Linked DNA regions of Arabidopsis thaliana. The protein of the gene in region 4 interacts with the protein of the main gene of each other region in a pairwise test. Each region holds a gene or a part of one and is shown on either strand. Other genes may lie near its edges. The genes, in order: AT1G04650, BRCA2B, RAD54 and RAD51.

What was found.
Region 1: the proteins of RAD51 (region 4) and AT1G04650 interact in a two-hybrid assay, tested with the Arabidopsis thaliana proteins (one study listed by BioGRID).
Region 2: the proteins of RAD51 (region 4) and BRCA2B interact in binary tests that used the Arabidopsis thaliana proteins (3 or more experiments, as listed by UniProt).
Region 3: the proteins of RAD51 (region 4) and RAD54 interact in binary tests that used the Arabidopsis thaliana proteins (3 or more experiments, as listed by UniProt).

The regions. Positions count from the first base shown.
Region 1 is NC_003070.9:1,294,107-1,301,009, forward strand, and holds AT1G04650 (holliday junction resolvase), read right to left. Parts: upstream 4,918-6,903; 5' UTR 4,798-4,917; coding exon 4,750-4,797; intron 4,458-4,749; coding exon 4,365-4,457; intron 4,151-4,364; coding exon 4,016-4,150; intron 3,978-4,015; exon of another isoform or gene 3,929-3,977; coding exon 3,839-3,928; intron 3,750-3,838; coding exon 3,600-3,749; intron 3,430-3,599; coding exon 1,835-3,429; intron 1,670-1,834; coding exon 787-1,669; 3' UTR 521-786; downstream 1-520. Other genes in the region: AT1G04645 (Plant self-incompatibility protein S1 family), read right to left, coding at 1-133; AT1G04660 (glycine-rich protein), read right to left, coding at 6,562-6,903.
Region 2 is NC_003076.8:235,096-242,917, reverse strand, and holds the start of BRCA2B (BRCA2-like B), read left to right. Parts: upstream 1-1,811; 5' UTR 1,812-2,006; coding exon 2,007-2,160; intron 2,161-2,246; coding exon 2,247-2,390; intron 2,391-2,525; coding exon 2,526-2,687; intron 2,688-2,931; coding exon 2,932-3,918; intron 3,919-4,010; coding exon 4,011-4,135; intron 4,136-4,222; coding exon 4,223-4,377; intron 4,378-4,538; coding exon 4,539-4,661; intron 4,662-4,733; coding exon 4,734-4,919; intron 4,920-4,993; coding exon 4,994-5,075; intron 5,076-5,174; coding exon 5,175-5,225; intron 5,226-5,311; coding exon 5,312-5,393; intron 5,394-5,492; coding exon 5,493-5,604; intron 5,605-5,687; coding exon 5,688-5,759; intron 5,760-6,057; coding exon 6,058-6,256; intron 6,257-6,324; coding exon 6,325-6,507; intron 6,508-6,793; coding exon 6,794-6,936; intron 6,937-7,009; coding exon 7,010-7,072; intron 7,073-7,161; coding exon 7,162-7,366; intron 7,367-7,469; coding exon 7,470-7,643; intron 7,644-7,735; and 2 more. Other genes in the region: PRA1.B5 (prenylated RAB acceptor 1.B5), read left to right, coding at 805-1,476. UniProt on the Arabidopsis thaliana protein: Involved in double-strand break repair and/or homologous recombination by mediating RAD51- and DMC1-facilitated DNA repair. Plays an essential role in both somatic and meiotic homologous recombination.
Region 3 is NC_003074.8:6,652,958-6,660,827, forward strand, and holds the start of RAD54 (DNA repair/recombination protein), read right to left. Parts: upstream 6,007-7,870; 5' UTR 5,920-6,006; coding exon 5,738-5,919; intron 5,495-5,737; coding exon 5,123-5,494; intron 4,844-5,122; coding exon 4,757-4,843; intron 4,664-4,756; coding exon 4,423-4,663; intron 4,355-4,422; coding exon 4,229-4,354; intron 4,138-4,228; coding exon 4,081-4,137; intron 3,986-4,080; coding exon 3,899-3,985; intron 3,504-3,898; coding exon 3,408-3,503; intron 3,209-3,407; coding exon 3,158-3,208; intron 2,884-3,157; coding exon 2,809-2,883; intron 2,756-2,808; coding exon of another isoform or gene 2,725-2,755; coding exon 2,638-2,724; intron 2,427-2,637; coding exon 2,335-2,426; intron 2,270-2,334; coding exon 2,137-2,269; intron 1,660-2,136; coding exon 1,540-1,659; intron 1,467-1,539; coding exon 1,353-1,466; intron 1,254-1,352; coding exon 1,170-1,253; intron 1,076-1,169; coding exon 998-1,075; intron 911-997; coding exon 852-910; intron 705-851; coding exon 521-704; and 6 more. Other genes in the region: SCO2 (protein disulfide isomerase), read left to right, coding at 6,250-6,615, 7,142-7,268, 7,461-7,531. UniProt on the Arabidopsis thaliana protein: Dissociates RAD51 from nucleoprotein filaments formed on dsDNA. Could be involved in the turnover of RAD51 protein-dsDNA filaments. Addition of RAD54 overcomes inhibition of DNA strand exchange by RAD51 bound to substrate dsDNA.
Region 4 is NC_003076.8:7,069,979-7,074,726, forward strand, and holds RAD51 (RAS associated with diabetes protein 51), read right to left. Parts: upstream 2,989-4,748; 5' UTR 2,883-2,988; coding exon 2,787-2,882; intron 2,383-2,786; coding exon 2,238-2,382; intron 2,128-2,237; coding exon 2,017-2,127; intron 1,943-2,016; coding exon 1,851-1,942; intron 1,720-1,850; coding exon 1,625-1,719; intron 1,540-1,624; coding exon 1,426-1,539; intron 1,338-1,425; coding exon 1,208-1,337; intron 1,121-1,207; coding exon 999-1,120; coding exon of another isoform or gene 935-998; exon of another isoform or gene 904-934; coding exon 780-903; 3' UTR 513-779; downstream 1-512. UniProt on the Arabidopsis thaliana protein: Binds to single and double-stranded DNA and exhibits DNA-dependent ATPase activity. Unwinds duplex DNA. Component of the meiotic recombination pathway.

The DNA.
Region 1 (6,903 bases), on a different chromosome or scaffold from region 4:
GTATGGTAAGAGGTGGACCGCCAATCAAGTTTGTCATCGTGACAACCGTAGCGCGCCAGAACGGTGGGAGGCCCCCATAACCCGAACCAAATAAAAGAAAGAAGAAGAAGCAAACAATAGAAACTTTTTCCATTTTGATGTTTGTATTTATGAATGTGGCTTTTCAGGTTGCTCTTGGAGTTGATTTTATAGTATTCCAAGGGCTCGACGGTTTCTTCACATAGTAACTATCCCATTGACTATTGACCAAACAAACAAAGAAATCAGTGTAAAAGTCATGTGACCAAACAAACATCCAAATCAGTAAAATGAGAATTTAGTGTGGTTTTGACCCAGACAAAAAAAATAAAATAATAATATTAAATCTTAATGGATTATGCGAAATTGATCGTCCAAAAAAACATGGGCTTTGGCCCCACATTTTCTGATGAAATTAAGCAAAATATATTACAAAGAAGTCCCAATTTTATTAATATTTTTACAATAATGTTTTTAAAATATTTTAATGTTACCTTGAGAAAATAATTAAGCCTTTGGCCCCAAAAATCTTATAGTCCGTTGTCGACAACTTAACCTCGTTTGTTCAAAAATTTCGGTGGTAAGAGGTAAATCCGCTACTATTTCAACTTTTTATCATGTTATAAGAGGAAAGTTTGTCAAGTTCCTCTTGTGAAAGTGTATTTGAGAGAAGCGCTTTGTTCTTTCTTAAAGAACATCTTTAATCCCAAACATCTGTTAGCATAAAAGTCTTTTAACAGTGTGTGATAGATAGCCACTGAAGATACTTTAGTCCGAAGCTGCGGTGAGGCTTAACAAATGAGAGACCAAATCTTCAAGACACGAAAACTGATTCGATAAACTCTTTTGAAACTCTTCACTCTCATTTTCATCTGACCTCAATTCGTTTAAACCCTCGTTAATCCTCTTCACTCCATTCTGCAATAACTCCATTCCTCTGCAAATTCCTTCTGGAAGTTTCCTTTTCTTGTTCGGTCGTTTCTCTACTTCCATTGACCTCTGGCTTCTTCCTTCTAGAAGCTTCTGCACTGTTGCCTTAACCTCGGTGCCTTCTTTCGAAAGTAACTCCAGTTCTTCTTCTGAAGGTGTGATTGAAAGAAGCGCTTGTTCTTTCTCCAAAAACATCTTTAATTCCGACATGAACCGCTCTGTTTTCGCTTCTTTTCCAGAAGCTATATCGAAGGCTAGAGCCGCGTCTTCAGGTACGAATCTCCATAGCTGATTACAGCTTGTACGTGCACAGAAGTATCCAAACGCAGTAACCGCGTGGTGTACCAAAGCCCAGTGGCGTTTCCTGAGAAGCATATGGTAGAGTTCCCAAACCGCAATGCTCTTTGGACACTTTTTGGTTTCAGACATCTCGTATTTGCTGAGTCCTGACAAGAAGAGAGCAAGGTTTGGCTTGGACTTACGAAGATGATTATGATGATGATTAGTTTCTGAATTGAATAGCTTTTGAAGCTCTGTTATGACATTATCCATCTCTTGGCAAGTGTATAGCTGTTCGCTTCTTGAGATGATAGATAATGTTTCGCTGAGAATCTCACTGTAACGTTCCTTCGTCGTTTCATCTTTGGAGTTTCTGTACTTTTGAATGAGAGCGACGACAAAGTTCAGAGTTTTGGCATCAATCTCTGATATGCTCATCTTTCTACACGGAAGAAAAACAACAACAGTCAATAATATCCACAACACAAAAATTGAAAATGTACCCTTTCGCTCACACTATTTTCAGTTACTATTATCTGACTTTTGCTATCTCGTGTAATAAAATCCCCAGAGAAGTCTCAAGAATAGATATATTATCATTACTTACAGTATCCGAAGGCAAGCAGATACTGTGAAAACTGGAGCTCCAAGCAGAGTGTATCTGGAGGAATTTGACGGTTTCTCATCGAATTTCTCGATGAAGTTGAAGAAATCTGCAAATATCTGTCTCTTTGCGTCGTTTTTTATTCTGTCTGGAAGAAAATTCAGTGGAAACCCGTCTAACAGCAATGCTAGATATACATCAGGTGCATGGTCAGATCTGCTCTCAGTAGAAATATGTTTGTAAACTTGAACTGTTAAAGATTTGGGGCTATGGGTAAGAAGAAAGCAGATGGACTTTGTAGTTCTTCTGAGAACGGAATCTGGACAAAGAGGTGTTTCTGATGATGGCATTGACATAATGAATGTACAAAGTTGATTAATCATATCGACCACCAAATCGTCAGTGGCATGACGAACCCAGAAGCACCAGAGTTCCATGACTATCTGCCAACACAAGAAGTGAGGATGCAAGAGATTCTGAAGTAGGAATGTTTCAAGCTCTTCCCAGGCAGGAGTTGAAGAGAGTATGATCATAAGGGTTTTGAGAGACAGAAGCAGAGCTGAATACATTGATTCCCAGATTACTATCTTCCCAGAACCATCTGCCATTGGTAGCTGAGAGGAAAGAACTGAAGAGTAAACCTCTTTGTCTGCTAATATGTCGAGAAGCCATTGCAGCTTTGTGGTGATTGCAAGCTTTGCATCTTTGTCAAGCTCGAAAGAATACCTCATGACAGACTGGAACAATACAACTCGGGCCAGGAGCAAATCTCTAGCACTTGTCGCAGATTCAACAGATAAAGACAAGATATCCACCAATGATGTTTTTGTGTGAGAATCATGGCTCTGCTTCTTACAGATTTGGTTTGAGAATTCATCAACGAACAATGAATCAAGAAGTGTGAGCCTGAATTCCTGTGTTAGTTCAGCTGCATTTAACAGTGCACCTAGAAGATCTACAGTTGTTTTCTCCAGAAGATCAGTCATTACTTCACTTGCGGATTTTCCATGAGTTTGTTGGCTCAGTGAAACTTTGAAAGCAGAGATCATCAAGATGCATAGTGCTATATCCTTGGACACCATAGACGCCTGGCTTGGAAACAGCGCCACAACTTTAACAGCATTGATAAGATAAAATTTCACAGGAAGAAAGACCCTTCTGGCTTCCGTTGCAGATATGTTTTCCTTCACCGAGCAAGACCAAGCCTCAGCAGCAAATCTCAGGGAGTCCTTGATCAGTGATATTAGCTTTAAGATAATTTCTCCTACATCTACCTTAGATACCAATGTCTGCTTGTCTAGTTGAAGCAATGTAATCACACCCTTCCAAGATGTATTAAGAATGGCCACAAGATTTCCACCATCTCTTGCAGCAAGCATACCCAATTCACTCAGAGATTTAACTCCCAGCGTAATCATGCTCACCAAATTACCCACAGCGTTGCCTTCCTCCATCCTTGCCTTTCCTACATGTCCACTCGTCTTCATTTCACTTACCTCACGATTCACTGTTTGAGAGTATTCTTTGCACAGACGAACAGTAGAATCAATTACCACTTGCACAGCCTTAAAAATCTCCGAGGAAAAGGATTCGACTTTCTGTCTCATAGAAAGGTGAAAGTTATTAACAGATGACAACAAGGCAAAACAATAATCTCAAGTTGATTCTCAACCTACAGTAGTAATTTCAACAAAACAAATGTTAAAAATGTTTCATGATATGGTACGTGTAGTTACTAGCGAAAGATAAAGATGATTTTCAAAGATACCTTGGAATTCATTATCAACTCCTTTGTCAAATTGAGCTGCTCTGAAACAAACTTATGAACTGTAACAGCTGAGGCATCATCAGTCATGAAACAAGTTTTTCCAATAGCAGTAAAGCTTGAGGCAGAAAAACGAAGATAATCCAAAAGAAGCTGCATAACATTGATTGAATAACTCAGTCCCTTCGAAACCATAAGCTGCGACAGAATCCTACTTCCAGAACCAAAAAGCATCAAATAACCTGAAAGAAAATGTTGGAATGCTCTTCCTCTTGAGACTCCTCCATGGACATAACAGACATGTTTAAATGTTTGGCACACCATTGGCTTACCTAGAAGAAGTGGAATAAGAAAAGATAATACAACACCCCTCCAAAATTGAGGTTGAGCAGTAAGCAATAAAAATGAAAACATTGTACCTTAATAGCAAAAGCAAGAAAGTAGTGTGAGCAATCAGGCCGATCCAAAGCGAGGTATTTTGAAGCCACAGGCAGAATCGCCTTGTTCAACAAACACAGGGAAACGTCAAGACATGTGAAATCTTCCCAGAGTGTCTATACAGCTGTCAAGGAATACTTGGAAACAAACAAACAAACCACTTAAAGCATATATGAATCCAAGTGAAACATGCAAATAAGCAGATATAAGTTCGTCACTTCATTATCCTGAATCCAACCGTCACATAATGGATATCCACATCTCAATTTTAAACATAGTATAACTGAAGATATTGAAAATCAGCAAAACTGATGAAAAGACTGGGGATACAGTTAGGCTCTCCACAAAAGAAGGCAAATCAGAATTCTCTTCAACATCTAACTGACTGAGCCGCGTGAGTAATTGAGCCCGATTCTCGATAAGCTGTTGAGCGAACAATGAAGAAAACGAAGCTCGTTAGATCCATGAGCTACAGAACTCAACTGAATCCTAATCACTCTATATATACATTAAGCTGCAGAAACTTAATCGGAAGGGAAATTGATAAGAAACATCACAAAACCCAAAGCAATCAGAAGAAATTTCTCGATTTAACAGAGAGGATTCGTAGAAATGACTACCGGAAGCGATAAAATCCACCAGAAGATTTTAGTTGGAAAAAATATACAGAAACCTAGAAAATCAAATCAAAGGTGGAAATCAAAGAGAAGCTTACATCAGAAGATTTGATCTCTTCGAGTAACTTCATCGCATTCTTCTCCATCACTCACTCTTTCTCTCTCTCTCTACAGGGAAATTTTGTTTTGGCAGTGTGAGAATCTCTCTCTAGGCTTTAGCTTCCCGCTCTTTACATTTCGCCTATATTGGAAATTTTCTCTGCCTTTCGCTTTTCAATTTTTGATTTATTAAACAAAAACAAATTAAAAAAAATGGAATATAAAAGATATTTTGAGGCCCGTTGGATCTAATTGGGCTTTGTAAGTAGCTCAATTTTCACTCGATGATTTTCAATTCGGTCCACCATTAAAATTGAAACCCATATCAAATCCTTAACAAAATTATTAAAAAAAATACCACAAACACCAACCAGTTCAGTTTTCTTTTCTATTTTTTTTGGGTTTTGCTTTTTTTACTACAATATTTTTAATGATTACAAAATTATAAATTGTGATTAATTTTACTAGCTAATATATATGTATATATATACAAATGCAAACGAATAAAAATTTGAAGGGTGTATGTATACGTCGTAATAAATTGCATGAGATGTAAATTTAGAGGTTGTGACAGCGAAATAGACAATAGAGAGGACGATGCATGAAATGGGACAACAAGTGTTTGACATGCAAATCCTATCTTCTTTAATTTGTGTCCCTCTCATCCCAACGCAATTATTACGTCATTTATTAGTGCTTCCTTTTTGTGGATTCTTGCTGTCTTCCTCCCACAATTAATGTATTTTTCCTATATATTTTGGATTAATATACACTAGATCATTTGCAAAGAAATTTCCAACCATGATGAACCATGCATAGTAATTAGTAAATAGGCGTTATTTATAGGGGTAGTACAATCTCAAGTTCTGAACAAATGTTCATTGTTACGTCCATCTTAAATATGTAAATTAAAAGTATGAGTTCAAACATTTCATACGAAATTACGAATCATATGTGTCAGTGTGTAGTAGATGGCTGAATGCATTATTGTGATCATCAACGAGGAAGTGTGTAGTAGATGGCTGAATGCAATATTGCGATCATCAACGAGGAAAATAATCCGGATATACCAATATCCAATGTTTTGGTTAGTTTTATAATATATTAATCTTCTATATAGTTAACCTTTGGTTAATAGATTAACATTTTTACTCAATTTTACTATATATTAATTCGTTTCTAATGATTATCGAAGGACTTTTTGAACCAAAACTCATATGTCTTCTCTTAGTCGAGATCTTTCAAAACCCTTGACCAAACTCATATATATATATATATATATATATATATATATGTTAATTTTACGGGTTTTACCACTTGGATATATATACTAACTTTTTTTTTTTTTTACTATATACTAACTTTGATATCCGACTTATTTAGAGTTAGACAGTGCAACAAAAACGAAATCTATACACTTTTTACATGTAATGTATATATAGTGGAAAAAGTTTGTACTCCATCCATTTTTGAGTGATGTTTTCATATTTTAAATATCATTACAAGTTCAAACCAATTTCATTTTCAAAAAATATCTCGTCGGAAACCTTGATAATTCCTCTTAATTAAAAATTTGTCTTTGAACATGCAAAAGTATGGAAGAAGAGAACCTCCTAAACCAAAACGATTCAAACATAGAGAGTCGCACATTTCATAACACCACGGCCGAAATCAAAGCAAACGTTACAAAAGCCCAAACTAGAAAATAGATCAAAAGTCACCCTAATGATCACAGAATTAAAAGACCAACAATAACATCGAAACTAATTAATTATTCCTTAATTAAAACCCTAACCAACAAATACTCTCTATTAAGGATGTGGATCGATCACACCACCGACCACGCCGTGTCCACCACCGATACCACCACCAACACCAATACCACCAGCCTTACCGAGACCACCAACTCCACCTAAACCACCTCCGGCTCCGCCTAGACCACCTAAACCGCCAATACCACCGGCTTTACCAATACCACCGCCAACACCACCTACACCGCCTAAACCAGCTCCACCTAGACCGCCAACGCCACCTAGACCACCAACACCCCCTCCAACACCGCCTAGACCGCCAACACCTCCTCCGACACCGCCTAGACCGCCAACACCGCCTATACTATGAAATCCACCGATTCCAGCTGCACCGCCTATGCC
Region 2 (7,822 bases), 6.8 Mb from region 4:
CTGTTGAGTTATTTAGGAGATTCGTTCAACTTCTCTAAATCCGTTGTCTAACTGGCTTAGAGGGTCATCCATCATCTGGAGTGTTTATGCCTATAACCACCTGATATATCAATTATACATTTCTTTTCTCGTGTGGTTCTTCTTGCAGGGATCCTTCTTTGGTTGGAACGGGGCGACTCTTTAATTCCGTGGTAGGTGATTAGTGTGATTGTCTTGAAATGTATGATCTACTCTCATCGATCAAGTAACTTTGAACTACTTCGTATTGTAAACATATCTAAGGTTTGATGGAGTTGCATTAAGAAATAACATTTATGCTATATATGATGCTACAACTTACTATCAGGGTAAACAATGGTTATTTAGTCTTTGTCTACTCGTTAGATATAATTATGTTTAGAATTCGAAGATGAATGTTATCAAAGAAAAAAGGATTTGACATTGTCAAGTCTACTACTCCATATGACAGATCAACATTGTGTTAAAAATATTTTCTATTAGGGAAACTTCCTGTGACTGGAACATTAATGGTCAAATGCACTTTGCCTAAGTAATCAAGAATTATTGTATAAACTACGTTAAGCAAAAAAATAACCTGAGTTATAATATCAGGAGGTTATTTTTATTTTTATTTTAGCAAATGAATATAGATTAGCTATCAGATGAAGCAAGGTGTATAATCAAAGTTGAAAGACGCGTAATTGTGATCCTATATATACATAACACTACCGCAACTTCAGCAACCTCTAAATCATTCGTCTCCTAAAATTTTCCAATCTCAAAATCCCAAAAGAACAAAATCGAATGGTGTCAACAAATCCCCCTGTTCTTCCAATTTCCACCACCGCAACAGACACCACCAATCAGCCTCCGATTGTAACCGCTGTGGTGGAATCGCAACCTCCAGTCGTCCGTGCATTTGTCAACGGTGTGACCGAGACGGTCTGTGGTGGTCTATCTCGTAGCCGTCCGTGGTCAGAGCTCCTCGATCGATCCGCTTTCACAAAGCCTGACTCTCTCTCCGAGGCCGGGACGCGATTCCGGAAAAATTCCTCTTATTTCAGGGTGAATTACGTTTGCATTGTCGCTCTGATCCTTGGTTTCTCTCTTCTCGCCCACCCATTCTCTCTCATCCTCCTCCTATGTCTCGCCGCTTCCTGGCTCTTCCTCTACCTCTTCCGTCCATCAGATCGTCCTCTTATCCTCTTCGGCCGATCTTTCTCCGAATACGAAACTCTCGGTGGCCTAATCCTCTCCACGATCGCAGTGATCTTCTTCACAAGCGTCGGATCTGTATTGATATCCGCTCTCATGATCGGAATAGCAACAATCTGTGTCCATGGCGCCTTTAGAGCTCCCGATGATCTCTTCCTCGACGAACAAGATCATGCCGCCTCCGGATTCCTCTCATTCATCGGTGTTCCCGCGATCCCCTCTGTAGCACCCTCTGCCTCCTCAGCGGCTTCCCCCGTGTAAATTATAGTTCTCAGAATCTGGCGTGTTTAGAGATTTGAAGGTGGAGATTGTTGCAATGTAATTTTCTGTGATACTTGACCATTGTTGCAATGTAATTTTCATTGAAGTCAGTCACCAATCACATTGAACAGATGTTTTAAAATGTCCACGTAAGCAATTATTGTTTGGAACGATTTCGGGTTAGCATTCGTGCCGTTAGTTACCGCAATAAAAGGCCGTGGCAATATCACACTTGTCTTGGAACGCTATGTCCGTAAAAACCAAGCCCAAAGTTAAAATAAAACCACGCGTCTCATAATTTCGGCCCAAATCTTTTTCAACTTTCCCGCCTTTGTCAGAACTTTTAACTTTTTGGATTTTTGGTGATGATTTTGGTTTGGGGAAAGAAAATAAAACAATAAAAATAAAAATTCCGCACTCCCGACTCCTCCCTCTTGGCGTGGTAGGCAATTCTGAATCGCGAGGTTTAGTTCTCCGGCTGAATCATATAACGACGAATCGGAAAACTTGGAAACCCTAGAACTGAATAAATGTCGACGTGGCATTTATTTTCCGATTCCAGCGGCGATGGTTTCCGGTGGGAAGTCGCTGGCCGGATTCTTCAGTCCGTCTCGGATTCTACGCCAACCAAGGCGCTCGAATCGACAGCTCCTCTACCTTCCATGGCCGATCTCTTGCTCCAAGGTGATTCTTCGTATCTTCCTTTTCTTTGTCGAATCGTGTTTGTCATGTGACTCAAAGGAGATTGAATTATTATTTGATGCTTCAAGGATGCTCGAAGCTTATAGAACGGGAAGAATCGATGCCTGGGGAAATCCCAATGTTCAGGACTGGGCTGGGGAAGTCTGTAGTTCTTAAAGAGTCTTCGATTGCTAAAGCCAAATCCATTTTAGCAGAGAATGTTGCTTATTCAGGTATTTTATGTGACAGTATTGAATTCCCTTGACTAGTCATTTGTTTCTGAATTCGCTTGAATTGTTACTTAATGTTGGTGAATATGTGTTCCTGAAAATCTTTTGAATGTTCCATGTTCTTGGCTACACTTTTAGATTTGCAGAACACAAATTGCTCAATTCCCCAAACGAGACAAGTGGATACAGCTGAAACTATGCCAATGTTCAGGACGGCCTTGGGGAAAACTGTCCCTTTGAAAGAGTCTTCAATTGCCAAACCTTTGTCTATTCTAGGAAGTGATATGATAATTGACTCAGGTGTGTTCTTATCTCCTCTTTTTTTAAGTCTTATATCCAGCTGTGTGCGCATTTACATATGAACTTGTTGTTTGTGCTGCTACTCCGTTCAACTTCCAGGTTTCTTGAGTTTGGTTGTTATCAGATAAAACGATGAATAGTGAAGAACTAATCAACACACATCTTACTTCGTTTAGAGAATAAATATTAGAAGTGACATTTTTTCATAGTTTATTTGTTAATAAGATTCTTTTTGATTGTGTAGACAACGTTCTTCCCAGGGAGAGTGGGTTTGGTGTTCCCAACAGTCTTTTTCAGACAGCTTCCAACAAAAAGGTTAATGTATCTTCTGCCGGTTTAGCAAGAGCCAAGGCATTGTTAGGACTAGAAGAAGATGATTTGAATGGATTTAACCATGTGAACCAGTCGTCTTCTTCCCTCCAGCAACATGGGTGGTCCGGTTTAAAAACTCATGAGGAGTTTGATGCTACAGTGGTTAAGCATCATTCAGGAACTCCAGGACAATATGAGAATTATGTATCTGGGAAGAGATCTGAAATCTTAAATCCATCGTTAAAGGTGCCTCCAACAAAGTTTCAGACTGCTGGTGGAAAATCATTGTCAGTGTCAGCTGAGGCGTTGAAACGTGCCAGAAACCTTCTTGGTGACCCTGAGTTAGGGTCTTTCTTTGATGATGTAGCTGGAGGTGATCAATTTTTTACACCACAGAAAGATGAAAGGCTAAGTGATATTGCTATAAACAATGGAAGTGTCAACACAGGTTATATTGCTCATGAAGAAAAGACAAGCAACAAACATACGTCAAATAGTTTTGTATCTCCTCTTCATTCATCTTCAAAGCAATTTAGATCAGTTAACTTGGAGAACCTAGCTTCAGGGGGTAATTTGATCAAGAAATTTGATACGGCTGTTGATGAGACCAATTGTGCTCTGAATATCAGTAAACCTGCTACACATGGACTATCAAATAACAGGCCTTTAGCATCAGATATGGCAGTGAATAATTCCAAGGGAAACGGTTTCATTCCAAGAGCTAGGCAACTTGGAAGGCCTGCTGATCAGCCACTTGTTGATATAACAAATCGCAGAGATACAGCTTATGCAAACAATAAACAAGACAGTACCCAAAAGAAAAGGCTGGGAAAGACAGTCTCCGTTTCTCCTTTCAAAAGGCCAAGGATTTCATCCTTTAAAACTCCTTTAAAGAAAAATGCTCAGCAAGCTTCAAGTGGTAATATATACGATTAATTTTAATTTTAATTTTTTGTTAATCTAATTGGTTGGTTCTCAGATTTATAATTTTGGTGTCCTGTCTATTATCAGGTTTGTCTGTTGTATCGTGTGATACACTTACTTCCAAAAAGGTACTTTCTACAAGATATCCAGAAAAGTCTCCAAGAGTATATATCAAGGAGTTTTTTGGAATGCATCCGACAGCTACGACCAGGGTAAAATCTTTTTGTCCCTTTCACCTGTTCCTGCGTTACATAAATTTTTTCTTCATTCACTCAAACACATTTACGAGGTGGTTTTAGATGGATTATGTGCCAGACCATGTCAGAAGAATCAAATCAAGTAATGCAGATAAATATGTATTCTGTGATGAGTCTTCTTCAAACAAGGTTGGAGCTGAAACTTTTCTTCAAATGTTGGCTGAGTCGGGTGCTTCCTTACAACATGCATCCAGAAAGTACTTTCTCTGTCCCTTGAAATGTTAACCGTGTTATATGTTTATTATATCAGAAAAAGTGTGTGACTGTTCGTTTGAAGCTTGCATGTGATTGTCACTCTATTAGATAGACAGTTTGATGTCTATATCTATTAACTTATCTATCACTACATATGCACTAGGTGGGTTACTAATCACTACAGGTGGATAGTCTGGAAACTTGCATGCTACGACATATACTACCCAGCCAAATGCAGAGGAAACTTTCTAACAATCACCAATGTTCTTGAGGAACTAAAATACAGGTTTCCCAGTCTCACAACACAACTCGTTACTTAAACTCATGCAAAGTCTAACATGGTTAATCTTCTTAATAGATATGAGAGAGAGGTCAATCATGGTCATTGCTCTGCAATCAAGAGGATTCTGAGTGGTGATGCTCCAGCTTCTTCAATGATGGTCCTCTGCATATCAGCTATTAATCCAAGGACCGATAATGGTTCTCAGGAAGCACATTGTTCTGATAATTGCAGCAATGTGAAAGTCGAACTCACTGATGGGTGGTATGAAATTGCTACTGCTGTTCTGTTACCTGTTTTCTTGTCTCATTTCCATAGGATTTTTTTTTAAATCACAGGTACTCGATGAATGCTGCTCTGGATGTCGTGCTAACCAAGCAGCTGAATGCTGGCAAATTGTTTGTGGGGCAGAAGCTTCGAGTAAGTTATATTCATGCAAGATATACTTTGTTTTGCAACACAGATTTTGGTTAGATCACTGACTTGCAGCATGCTTACGTTCTTATCTCTTATCTGAAGATCCTCGGGGCAGGACTTTCTGGCTGGGCTACCCCAACATCACCACTTGAGGTTTCCTAGACTTTGCATTTTATAAGATTTTCTGATATCTTCTCAGGTTGGTTTGTTCTTAGAGTTTCGTTCAACCAAACTTTCAGGCAGTGATTTCAAGTACAATCTGTTTGTTGTTGAATATTAATGGGACATACAGAGCTCACTGGGCGGACCGACTAGGCTTCTGTAAGTAGCTTTATGCTGTGGACCTCACTACATCATCTGAGTTCTTATTGCTTTCATATTATTATCTTTCTATTGATCGTTCTTAATCTCTTCCTCAAGGTAAAGAAATTGGTGTCCCTCTGGCTTTCAACTGTATCAAGTGCAATGGGGGTCCAGTGCCTAAAACGCTAGCTGGCATCACACGAATATACCCCATCCTATACAAGGAAAGGTCAATATAAATGTGTGCCTGTTAATGCACTTTGGTCTTCCTTATACTTCTCGCAAAGCATTATATTTTCTTGATGTATACAGGTTAGGTGAAAAGAAGTCAATAGTTCGATCAGAGAGAATAGAAAGTAGAATTATACAGCTGCATAATCAGAGGCAAGTTTCCTTATAACTGTAGAGTAGCAATTTTTAGTAACATTTATGTGATCAATTTAGCACATCACTTTCTAAGAAGTGTCAGATTAACTCATCAAAGCTAGAGACATTTGTTACATACACCAATATTAGGGTTCTAAGTAGTTTTTGGGACAGACAAAGAATCTTTGTATTTATTAGAAAAGCTTCTGGCCTTCTGAATATGGATGGTTTTGCCAACAGAAGAGCCAAAGATTGCAGTTCCTCATGGTTTATTCTCATTCGTACTTTTCTTTCTTTCTTTTTCTATTTTCCGTAGGCGCTCAGCTCTTGTTGAGGGTATTATGTGTGAGTACCAGAGAGGAATTAATGGTGTTCACAGCCAAAACGATACTGACAGCGAAGAAGGAGCCAAGGTCTTTAAGCTGTTAGAGACGGCTGCTGAACCTGAACTTCTTATGGCTGAAATGAGCCTAGAGCAGTTGACATCTTTCACTACATATAAAGCAAAATTTGAGGTAGAATAGTAATTCCCTTTTCTTGATATATTGATTACAGTAATTAACTGCTTCAATCTGAACCTCAGGCAGCCAAGCAAATGCAGATGGAAAAATCAGTGGCAAAAGCTCTGGAAGACGCTGGTTTAGGTGAAAGGAACGTCACCCCATTCATGAGGATTAGGCTTGTTGGCCTGACGAGCTTAAGTAATGAAGGAGAGCACAATCCAAAAGAAGGCATTGTAACAATCTGGGATCCCACGGAGAGACAGGTACATTCAAATGCCTAAATCTGAATGTTTCATGCACAATTTAAAAGAAGGCATTTTTCTAATGGCTTATAAGTTTACACGAACCTTATCCATATGAGCTTATATGGAACGGGGAGTTCCAAATATAAGCTCGTCAGAGTTGCTGTGGACCTCGAATGGACTGAAATGCATATCAAAAAATCGTTACCATCACTGTACTGTTGCATTAAGAGCATCATCGATTAGCTTGTTCAACTTTTTTCTTGTAGATTCTTAAAACAGTTATCATTGTCTACTACTGTGACAGAGAACCGAGCTGACGGAGGGGAAAATATACATAATGAAAGGGCTAGTACCAATGAACTCAGATTCAGAAACACTTTACTTACATGCCAGAGGGTCAAGCTCAAGATGGCAGCCTTTGTCTCCAAAAGATTCTGAAAATTTTCAGTAAGTGGTTTTCTTTAGTAGACACTGGAATCTATCTCATTAATTTGTTCAATTTCCCTGATGATGTTTTCAGGCCTTTTTTCAACCCTCGTAAACCAATCTCTTTGTCAAATCTTGGTGAAATTCCTCTGTCAAGGTTAATCTCAGTAGTCCAAGCTTTTTATAAAACACTATTTACCGCACTTTGCTAATCTATACTCTATCATCTCTAATTATGTCCTTCAGTGAATTTGATATCGCTGCGTACGTTGTATATGTTGGAGATGCATACACAGATGTTCTACAAAAGAAGCAGTGGGTGTTTGTGACAGATGGATCCACACAACATTCAGGGGAAATCTCAAACAGTCTTCTTGCTATAAGCTTCAGCACCCCATTCATGGATGATAGCTCTGTTTCCCACATCAGCCATAATTTGGTTGGATCCGTGGTATGTACAAATTCTAATATTTGTCTAGTTTTACACTGAGAGAATATGCACCGAGAAATTATTGTTTGAAAAATATATGCTTTGTGGGCTTAATTTTTGGCAGGTCGGATTTTGCAATCTAATTAAAAGAGCAAAGGATGCGACAAACGAAATGTGGGTTGCTGAGACAACAGAGAACTCAGTCTACTTCATAAACGCAGAAGCTGCCTACTCTTCTCACCTTAAAACCCGCAGTGCCCATATCCAAACATGGGCTAAGCTCTATTCTTCCAAATCCGTTCGTTCTCGTCGACTTCCTCTTTCTATAAGTATTCGGTTCAAAAAGATTGTTCTATTGTATTAAGCCTTCTTGGTTTGCTCAATTTTCAGGTCATCCATGAACTTCGGCAAAGAGTCCTATTTATAATCGGTGCTTGTAAATCACCTTCATGCTGAAGATAAATCATACACCACCTC
Region 3 (7,870 bases), on a different chromosome or scaffold from region 4:
TTCCCGAGGTCTTTGTTGTGGTTTGTTAAAGGCACGCTTATTTACAGGTTGGTTCCGATTGTGCTCTTCGGACTCCACCGTTTTTGGACTGACATTTGATTCGATGGGAACGAGCTTCCCATCTACCTGGTTTGTGAAAACAAACGTCACCTGCAATGTTTTTAATAAACCATGAAAATAGTTATCATAAAGTTATTGGCTTTTCGAAAAATCTGACATAAGATGTAGAGTTTATGATTATAAGATTGAAAAAACTTGGAGACAACTCACCTCGTCACCTGCTGAAGCTTGCAGTATAGCATCTGGAACGGATTTTGAGGTAAAGTGATGACCCCAGCTTCCTAGATCTTCTTCCAATGGAGTGCCCACCTAAGAATATTCATGGGAAAAAAACTTTGTAGATGAATCGGATGTAAAAAGACATGAGCAGAGTTTGTAACTAACAATGGAATTGATGAAGAAATAGCTCAAAACAGACTTATATTTAATGCAGGACTCAGTAACAAGCACAAGAAGGGACCTGTCTCTCAGAGTTTTTTAACAAGTTAAAGCATCCTGCATCTTTTGCAAATCCGCCTATGTCTTCTTGGTCAATCTGGCAAGCATTGTCATCTACATTGTTCTCATTCCCTTCTTCGATATTCTCAGTACCAGAGGCATCATTTTGGCACCTGCTGCAGCTCATCTTTTCATGGATTTCAGACCTAGCCACATTACCAGAAAAGAGGCTTTGAGATAAACCATTTGAATGTGTATCATCTTGAGGTACAAAATCTGTCCCCAAAAGTGGATAGAGAAACGATGTTCTGAGTGGGCATAAAACATTCCCTGATTTCAGAAGAAACACATACCTAACATCCCCATGGAAGGAAAATAAATCTCGTAGATCCTCTGTAGAAAGTAAGTTCCCCTGGAAAATCAAAGATGTTGTGGTTGATATTCAATAATTAGACACAAAATGACTAATAGATGAAGCATATAACATTCCAGCAAGAACCTGTCTCGTGCTGTTATCCGTCTGTTCATGCTGAATAACTTTTTGAAGCCCTTCTTTTGACATCTGGCGCTGGTAAACCTACCAATGTACCACAAGAAAACAAATATGAATCTGAGGTAAGCAAACTCCCCCAAGGAAACTTGAGTAACAAGTTCGGCTAGTTATGCAGTACCTTTTCTTCAATAGTTCCAGTACTAAGAAACCTGTAGACATATACTCTTTTCTTTTGCCCATCCCTCCAAACTCTAGCAGCAGCCTGTTTTGACAGCGAAATAATGCATGTACAGCACAATCGATCATCTTTTATCAATATAAAGTTGAAACATATCTAAGGGGAAATTAGGATGGTAATTACTTGTTTATCATTGGCAGGATTCCAATCAGGATCGAACAAAACAAGTCGATTAGCACCAATTAAATTTAATCCACAGCCACCCGCCTTGCTGCTTAAGAGAAATGCAAACTCATCCTACCAAAACCAAAAGTCAAACCAGGTGTCTACTCAGGTTCGAAACAACGGCATAAATAGATAAGTCATGTACCTTTGTTGGGTCGTTCAACCGGTTAACAAGCTTCTGCCTCTTGCTGATTGTTGTTGATCCATCCAGCCTCAGAAAAGGATATCTTCTTTCACGACAGAGTTGAGCAAAAAGATCCAATGTCTAGTGCAAAAGGTGCAGGCTATGATTATTGTATACTCAGGCTGGTTTTAAATTGCTATATATATGCAACACACCATCATGTCATTTTATGCAATCAAACAACATGCAGAGTTCACTTCTTGATATTTGTTAGAAAGCGTTGCCTTTTGAATACATATAGACAAATCAGGGTAACGATTTTCTTAGCTTCTCCGATATCACATGCAAAAGTTCCAAAAATATGATGGCTCATAAAACTCAGGACAGCATAACACATAGCTTATGACTAATTCAAAATTCAAAAGAGATTGCAACATCCATAATTGAAATTTAGGACAGTAGTAACATCACTAATGACGACCAGCAGCTGAATCTATTCAAAATCCATGTGGAGGCATTTCATACTTCATTCTCTATGACCAATATTATGCACTGTCCCTTTCAAATAAATATAAAAGTAACTTTATATCCAACTCGAATTGACATTTTCCAGCATACCTGTGTGTAGTTTGATACAAGGACTATGCGGTCATCAGTTTTTCGACGTAGGTTGGCCAAAAGTCTGGAGAGAACATGCATTTTCCCAGAGAGCTCGACCCAGGCACCATCACCCCCTGTCCATGCTCCAGATCTGAAAGGATAGTTCCATTTAGATCCCAACTAGTGACAACATGCAAACATGCAATAGAAGCCTACCTCCCAGAGAACATTTCTGCAGGGAAGAACTCTAAGCAATTCTCAAACCCAACAGTTCCAGGATTGCCGCTTTTTATTGTGTCGTAGATTAGCTACACAGAAAAGAATAGGGCTATCATTAAGCATACATGGGGAATGATGAAAAAGGTTTTGACGATCAAATAGATCAAAGACCACTAAAATTTATGAAACTAGCGTCTTAATATCAGAACTTGATAATAGCGCCGTAAGATGTTACAAAGATGACTCAGAAGAAAATATTGGAAAAACTTAAACGCAAATGGATGAGGCTATGAGTTTTACCTTTGGATGATTGCAGAGCTTCTTAAGAGCTGTTATATAAGCCAAAACTTTGGTTTGTTTTGCATTATCAGCAAGCGCCCTTTTAAGCTGCATGCAGAGGCACCCATTATATGTAGTTCTAACTTCAATATTTTACGAAACATAACAAGAATGACTGTGATCAATGCTTACATTTTTCGAGCTAATAAAATGGTTGTACAAAGTGGACTGGAGAGTAGTCATCTTGCAACAAACTACTTCAATTATCTGTGAAACATCCAACAACAAGATTTTGATGTATTTCTGGCTTCAAAATAAAGAAAGCGGCAACGGGAAAAACTTGTAGCTAAAAAAAGAGATGACACTTTCACAAAGATGTTCATTCTATCCGCACTTTCAGCATATGATTATATCACTGCTAAAACTCCAGGTATTACTCAATATGACGAAACAGTTCAACATATAAAGAAGTAGTAAAGGCTCTACTGAAACAGAATTTTAATGCATTGTAAGCCTGCGGCAGATACAGAAGGAAAAGCACCTTAGGTGGTAGGTGATTTGAGAGCAATGCATTGGTTCTCCTCAAAATAAACTGTAAAAAAATGAAAGCTTAATAAGGTATAGCAGTTAAATTAAGCAACAATTCTAAAAGGTCAGTAGCGATGCTCTTTATTGATCATCATACCAAAATCATCTAAGCAAATTGCATATCTTTTAAGAGATATATCCAGATGATGATGAAAGCTTAATAATAGTCAAATATTTAGATATAAAATGCTAAGAAGAATCACCTGGTTGACTTTTGAACTCAGTTCTGCGGAGCGGTCAGCAGCTAAGTTTTTCTCTTCCTCAGTGGCTGTAGGTTCTCTTCCACATATAATAGGTGCCTTAGGTTTCATACATCAAAACAAGGATGCATCAAAAGAAGGTAATGCAAGAAACATAAACAACCTATAGTCAATTGAACTGAAATTGTATGACACAGATAACAGCGTAAACAAATTCTCTCAGCACAGACTATTTTTAAAGAAGCTTACAATGTAATGGAATCCAAAGGCATGAAGCAGCAATACTGGAAACGAACAGAATATATATAGTAGCAAAGTATACACTACAAAATAACTTGGGCTAATCCTAACTTTTAGCCAAGAATAGCCTAGAAGAAATGATCTTTAACATATTTAGAGATGACAGAATAGCCTACAAGAATTTATCTTTAACATATTTATAGATGACAGAATACAGAATGATCAAATTGGCATCAAAATTCAAAGTTTGTCACCTCATAATAATGGCGAAAGTGTGCAGCATCACCTAAACTCCCTGGATTTGTGAAGTTGACCATGGCAAAAAACTCTTCCAAGTCATTCTGGAACATTCAGATGCAAAAAAACATAGAGTGAAAGCTTAGTGTTAAATGTCAGGAGAAATTTAATAGAGATAATCACTGGAATTTTCCATTACCTGCATGGGAGTTCCAGACAACAAAACTCGACGTTTGCATGTCAATGAAGCCAAAGCCTGTAGTCAAATATGATGATAACCAATATTAGAAAGAAAAAAAATGTATCAACCTGGAAGGATACGAAATAAGTATGTATTTGCATCCTACCCTGTTTGTAAGTGTCTGGTCATTTTTCAACCTATGAGCCTCATCGCATATTAGAAGATCACAGGATTCACTCTGGCAGAACTTGGATGAGTGCATTCGGAATGTCTCGTAAGAAATGATAAGTACCTGTTAACGTTAGTTAGGTGATAAGTGCAATTCTCAGAGAGTCAGCAAAAAAATATGCACAGCTATACCTGCAAAGCGCTTCTTGGTCGAGTGAAACTATCTATTCCAGACAAAACATCATCTCTGGTGCTCTCACAGAGGGCTATAAGCTGAATCCTGTCTCCAACCCATTTCTTAATTTCAGCTTCCCAGTTACTGACAAGACTCGTTGGTGTAACAATAATGGCCTTTTTAACCATAGGCGTCCCATCAAATCCTTGACAAAGAAGTGTGTATAGTAAAGTAATGGACTGTAATGTCTTCCCTAAACTGCCAAATCAATTTAGAAGGAAATAAGAAAATTACATAGGAAACAAAAAAAGTCCAGATCCAATTTTACATAACGGACAAGATAGATTTTACCCCATGTCATCAGCCAGAATGCAACCATTTATATTTGCCGAACCATGTAATCCTGAAACACAATCGAACATGAACTGGACACCCTCTCTGCAGTCTCAGAAAAACCACCTCACCATGTAAGTAAAGTTGTATAAACATCTTCGATGCCAACTAGAGATAATTTTATACTCATTGGCCTGTTGTATTCACCAGCAGTTCACTGAGGGTTATATGATTTTAAACGAAGAGCACATTTTGACGTGGTTCAACAAGTAAACTATGAATGCCTTAAGAATTTTTAAGATCACAGCACAGATTGGAATCAAGTTTTGAGATCCTTAAAAAAAACTCTGTACACGATGTCAATTCTTAGATAGAAATGAATACCTTTGATGAGGGCGAAGAAATTTGACAAGCACTGAATGCACCATGATAGTTGTTACATTGCTCATTCCATCTTCTTCAGATTGCCACAATACCAAAGGTTCAATATCAGGTGGTAGACAAACAACTTCCTCTTCTTCATCTCTCTCAATATTGGTTGATGCTTCCAGCTTAGTAGGTAAAGCAACCACAACCGGAGTTGAGGAACCCCAAGGAACAAACCGTTTTCGAGCTGAAAGGCGACGAGAAAGTTGTCCTGTGGAATCATAACCATGAGAACACGGAGGTTTGAAAGGCTTCCTACAAACTGCCGCTCCATCTGACACCGAAAGCACCCGAGGAAGGAGTGGCTGCCGTTGCACAACTAGATTGCCCCTGTCAACCGTGCATAAGTATCAATTCCATTTCCATAAAACAATGGAATACGCGTTTGATACAGCTTCAGAGACTATTCACAATCATCAATTTGAACAAGAGAACACTAAATCTCCTTTAAAATCCCTAAATTCGAACCACTAAAACTCCAAATGATATGTAGCAGCAAGCGAACGAAGCATCTATCAGGTTTAGGGTTCAGCTTCAATTTCAAATTGAAATCTAGGAAATTCAATTACGCACCTCAGAAGATCCTTTACGTTCTTAGATTTCCGATCTGCGTCGGATGAAAGAGAAACCACCGCAAGGTCTTCGCACTCAGGGTTATCGTTTTCTCCTTCAGAATCTTGAGAATCATCCTTGTAACTATCGCTGGAATCGTCGCAATCGGAAGACGATAAGATCTCTTCATCTTCTTCCTCCATTTTCGTTACACCTACGAGCCCAGAGCTCCGCTTTTGACCAATCCTAAAACTCTTTTGGCGGCAAGAAATAAAACCAAAAACAAAAACAAAGAAAAACCAAATTATTTGAAATAAAATAACCTTATCAGAAAAGGACTAAAATATCCTTCAGAGTATATGGGACGCTACAATTTTTCCTAACAGTTAGTTTCATGAAGATTGTAAATTTGTAATTTTCCCCAAGTTTTTAAGTATTTACACACAAAAACAAAAATATCCGAATTTTTTTAATTCGTCGAGGTTGATTACTTCACCCAATTTCATGGCCGCACCTGCAAACTTCTCGTCTCAATGTTCCGATTATACCCTAATTGCTCTCTGCCTTCTCACAGACCTCTCGTTTTCCTTCCTCGTCTTCCTTCTCGCTCCCTCCGTTGCCGCGCCGCCGCTGATATTCCCCTTGGTGACGGAATCCGATTACCTCGAGAAGCGGATTCAACCTCTGACACGGCGAGGTCTCGGGATGTTTCCGTCGCCGCCGGTGGGAATGGTGAAGGTGCTAAGTGGAGGAAGAGGAGGTTGCTCTGGTCGAAAAGTGGAGAGAGTTACTTGGTAGATGATGGCGACGCGCTTCCTCTTCCTATGACTTATCCTGATACATCCCCTGTGTCGCCGGATGTGATTGACCGGAGGTTGCAATGTGATCCTGTAGTCGAGGTTTTTTGCTTTGCTTCAACTTTCATTTACTAATTTTGATGATTGAATAAGACTCAACATACTTGCACTTAATTTAGATGAACATTTTAATTGCTTTAGCTGACGATTGGCTGTTTGATTTGCTCTATAGTTTAATCTTCGAACCAATCAATATGCACAAATATATGAGTTGATCTTGTAGCTTGACGAATGACATTAAGTTTAATTGGTCTTTCTTATGGAGCGATAAGCTTAGATTCTGGAAGGTGAATGATGTTTCTGAAATGTGAAACTCAACAATGGACTTATTTTATAAAAGCATGTGTGTCAAAAACATGAAAAATATAGATGCAAGCTCTTGTCGATATAAGATAGGAATTAAATTTTGACATGAATTATCCTTTTTCGGAAAGATTTGCTCCGAGTTACTCTTCACCCCAGTTTTGGGTGTGTTTAGGCAATATTTTCTTTTTGATGCAGTATTTGCTTTAGAATGCCTTTTTGGGATTGTTTTTTCTGATCACAATATAACCCGACCAATTTTTAGGATTGCCGGGAAGTGGTTTATGAATGGACTGGAAAGTGTAGAAGTTGCCAAGGATCTGGAACTGTCAGCTATTACAAGAAAAGGGGTAAAGAGGTTATATGCAAATGCATACCCTGCCAAGGGATAGGTAAGTTTCTGAGTGTGGCTCTTTTTCCATGTTTTTCCTATGATAGTTTTAAGATTCTAGAGTATCTATGAGTTGGTTTCTTGATTGGTATTTGTGAAAAAGTAAACAAAGCCACACTTTCTGAGTTTTGCAGTTTGGTTTAGATTTAGTGTTTTACATGCAATTGACTTAAGAAGTTTAAACTAATTGCAGGATATGTGCAGAAGATAACATCTCGGACGGACATTGAAGTGATGGAAGATTTGGATAATGAACCATCTTGACCTTGAATATGGCCCATTTTTGCATGTAAGCTTGGGTTCGTTATTGAAGTGTATCCGTTGCACGTACAAAACTATAACCAGAAGAGAGATAAGTGCTTCTTTGGGATGTTTGGCCCAAACAAGCTGATCGGAGGTATAGACAAAAACTACTGATTCTTGCTCAGATAATGGCTTCTTCTTTCACCAATAGTCCCCATATAGGCAATTTCTGTTTTATATGTATCAGACCTCGAGACACCACGAACTGCAGGAATTGTTTGTGTTTTTAGGCTGTTTCAGTCTGACTTATGTACATCAAGAGAAAAGATAGCTGTAACACGATCCATTTAATTATCTTTG
Region 4 (4,748 bases):
TAAGTAATATATCTATATATACATTTTTGCAGCCACTTTGTGAAATAAATCCTAGAGTTGGAATTTATTTACAGTGGCTGCCACTGGCATTTAATAATTGTTTTTGATAATTAGAAAGAAAATCTTTGAATTAAATATTTGACAATCTTCCCAAAATCTCTTCACATTAACTACACGATTAGTTATTAAAATAAAACTTCCGAAATATTTAATATCATTTAATTACTACAAAATTATCATTTTGATATTGTTTTTCTACATGACTATAATAATTCGATTATAATCATCAAACCGCAGAGATATTAGATAGCATTTAATTACTACAAAATTAAAAAATATTTAGACAATGATTCATAAACATATCATAAATAAAATCAGTGAGTTTTTTTTACGGGACGGATTGGCGGGACGTTACTTAATAACAATCGTAAACTATAAAATAAAAATATTTTTACGATAAATATAATTTGCAAACTTTTATATATAGTAACTTTAAAAAATAAATTGTCTCCGCGGTATACCGTGGGTTAAAATTTAGTAGTGTTGTATAAACCACGAGGCTGTGTGCGTTTGTGAAACACAAAAGGTTCATTACCCGAAAAACTTTACTTACAAAGCTCTTTTGCTCCATCATCACTTACTTGTACGCTTACACTATGATCAACAGTTAAAAACAAAAACAAAAGAAAACGGTTTTTTGACATCAATACAAGTGAAGGGGTTGCTAAAAAAAAGCACATAAGGCAGAGAGAAGCAAGGCATTGTTGTGGCCAAAAACATCAATCCTTGCAATCTGTTACACCTTCTGTAGATATTTGAAATCGAGCTTCCGCTTCTGGCAAACATGGCGAGCTTATCACTTTACAGATTCTCTCCTCTGCTCTTCCTTTCCTCAACGCCAACCTGTATCAATTATCATAACAAACACACTTTCCTAACGAACCCTAACAAAAAACACTAAGAAACATGGATTTGTCGAATTTGCAAACATTACAGACCTTGTTGTGGTGGCATGAGCCATGATATTCCCACCAATCGGCTTAAATTGGGGACCAGCAAAAAGAGCTGAACCATCTACTTGCGCAACTACTTGGTTTGTTATAACAACAGCCACACCAAACTAGAGCCATTAAACATAAGAGAGAATACTTCAGGATGGTGTCTCAGAGCAATATTGGAAAAGAAACAGTTAGTACTGAATGTTCACCTCATCTGCTAACTTCTGAAGACTTCTCAAGAACTTTGCAAGATGCATTTGTCGAGCCGAAAGCTCTCCCCTTCCAGAGAAATCTGTTCTGTAGAGAGCGGTAGCACTATCGACAATCAGGAGAGCAAACCTGTGCCAATAGGGTCATCGTAACTTTAAAAGTTAGCACTCTCATGATAGACATAACGGAACTGAACACCAAAATAAACTCAACACACCTTGTTTCAATCATCATTGATGCTGCTTCAAGCAAAAGCCTTGACTGATGATCTGTATTATACGCCCTCGCATAGGCAACGTTTTCTAGTACATCAGCTCCATTTAATCCAAACCTGCATCATTTCATTTGATTTCTTACAGATGATTCCGTCTCAAGAACGCTATTGTGATCTCATGTGTGTTACAAGAATAACATACCTGTCAGCTATCTGTAAGAGTCTTTGTGGCCTGAATGTTCCCTCAGCATCAATGTACATGGCCTTTCCCTCTCCACCTCCTTGATCCATGGGAAGCTAATCATTCAAACGTGAACCTTAATGTGAATATCTTTCTCAGGTTTGGAAATTGTAAGAAGAAAGACAAGATCACTGATTTCTGCTAGATAAGCAACAATAACTGAGTGGTATAGGAACAGGGTTCTTACTTGACAAGTCACACACAGTGTATGGCACAGCTGAGTCTTTCCAGAGCGGAACTCACCATATAACTCTGTGATGGAACCAGTTTCAATACCTCCTGTTGAGCATACGGCAAAGTAAGATCACAATAACAAAATGCCGTTATAAGATGCACCAGAAACCAGCACCAACCTTCTAGAACTTTATCGAGCTCCCGTGATCCAGAGGTAATCTGAATAATTTCCTGTCTCTGAGCATGGAGCTGGCTCGCACTAGTGAACCCCAGAGGAACTAGCTTTGAAGCTATCACAGAAGAAAACACAAATAAGAACACACATTAACTCTAAGAGTATCAAAGAGGTGTTATGTATTTAACAGAGAAGGAAAGCAAAAAGTTTCTACATGTGTAATACCTGCTTCTACAATCTTGTCAACCTTGGCATCACTAATTCCTTTAATCTGCAAGAGATCCTTCCTCGGAGTATAAGCAACACCTTCAACAGTACAGAGACCAGCATCCCTAAGCTTCTTTACATCAACAGAAGCAATACCTGCTGCCTGAAGTTTTGAAGATTTAAAGAGATGAAATAGCATATAATCATAACACAAAACACACTGATGCATCTCCCTTTTATGAACACGAATTGAGAAGAACTATAGAGATTATATGACACTGGAGTCACAGCAATAGAGAAGTTCCCCAGAAAAGGATAAAACCCCCAAAAAGTGTCGATTTTTTTCTGAATTAAACGAACCCCTAAAACCAATTCGCCTAACAGACAGTAGCGAAACTCAATTCTCGCCCAGATTCACACCTATTTCACATCGCGATGTACAAAAAAAGCAGAAATTTTTAGTGAATTAAAGCCGAACCCATTTCAATTAGCGCAAGATCTGATGAAGCGTATAGACTGCGAAGGTAAATTTCCACAACAAATGAAAGAAATCTGCAGAAATTGAACCTGAAGCTGTTCGACAGGGAAAGGTCCGTGCTGGGTTTCTTCATCGTCTTGTTGTTGGACAGCATTCTGGTTTCTACGCTGCTCCATCGTCGTCATTTCTCTCAATCAGAGCAGATTCGGGTCACCAGAGAAAGCGAGAGAAGCAAAAGAGAGCTTGAGAGTGGAGGGAAATGGCGAAACTGAAAACAAATTGAAAGAAGCGCCACAACCAAAATTATTATACAAGACGACGATGAGGGCAAAGGCTTCTTCAACAAGTCTCGATTACGTTTGGGTCAGCTTTTCCTCGGCCTTGATCATATTGGGCTTTAAAGGCTATTAAAGCCCAAATTCTTATTCTATAAAATACTCAAAAACAACAACAAAATCCTCCTCATTTTTATTATTAATTAAGTACCATAGTAATTTTAAATTTTCAGTTAAATGCATGAAATTATAAATGTTAGATATTATCAAAGTTGATCGAATTATGGATTCTCAAAATTATTTTTTTATTTTAAATTATTTTTACTTAAAATTATATATTTTTAAAACACTAAATTAACGTTTTGTAAAAACAATAGGTGTTTGACCGCCGAGTGATACCTAGGTGTTTGAATGTCAACCAAATGGTACCTAGGTGTTTGACCGCCGAGAACCACCACAATTCCAACAATGTAGTAATCACTTATTATAACAAAAATAAAATATTACAAATATCACAAAATTTGTCAATTTTCTTTATTCAAGATGATATTTAATTTTTTTTGGTAAACTAAAACATATAGGGCCCAACCGGGTTCGAACCGGTGACCTATTGATCTGCAGTCAATTGCTCTACCACTGAGCTATGAACCCTTATTGATTTAATAAGTTCAAAATTATAAACTATGTATTTCATGAATTATTTTTTGCTAAGAAATCTAATATAGTTAAGTCAATTGTTTACTTATTTAGAAATCACATAAATTATTTATAAAAAAAAATTCACAAACAAATTAAACCATGAAAGTTTTTTAAAAAAATTTCAGTTGTTAAAGAATTATATGCAAAAACAGGTCAAAATTTGTTTTATTCAAGATGAAAAATTGCTAGCTAAAACCTTGAAATATAAGATTAGTGAACTACTTGACGCTAAATGCTAATCAAATATATAACTAAAACTCTTATAAAAAATTATTGGTAAACTGAAAACATATAGGGCCCAACCGGGTTCGAACCGGTGACCTATTGATCTGCAGTCAATTGCTCTATCACTGAGCTATGGACCCTTATTGATTTAATAAGTTCAAAATTGTAAATTATTTATTTCATCAATTTTTTTTTGCTAAGAAATCTAATATAGTTAAGTCAATTGTTTACTTATTTAGAAATCACATAAATTATTTAAAAAACAAAATTCACAAACAAATTAAACCATGAATTTTTTTTAAAAAAAATTCAGTTACTAAAGAATTATATACAAAAACTGATCAAAATTTGTTTTATTCAAGATGAAAAATTGCTAGCTAAAACGTTGAAATATAAGATTAGTCAACTACTTGATGCTAAATGCTAATCAAATATATAACTAAAGCTCTTCTAAAAAATTATTGGTAAATTGAAAAAATATAGGGCCCAACCAGGTTCAAACCGGTGACCTATTGATCTGCAGTCAATTGCTCTACCACTGAGCTATGGACCTTTATTGATTTAATAAGTTCAAAATTATAAATTATTTATTTCATCAATTTTTTCTTGCTAAGAAATCTAATATATTTAAGTCAATTGTTTACTTATTTAGAAATCACATAAATTATTTTAAAAAAAATATTCACAAACAAATTAAACCATGAATTTTTTTTTAAAAAAAAAATTCAGTTGCTAAAGAATTATATATAAAAACTGGTCAAAATTTGTTTTATTCAGGATGAAAAATTGCTAGCTAAAACCTTGAAATATAAGATTAGCCAACTACTTGACGCTAAATGCTAATCAAATATA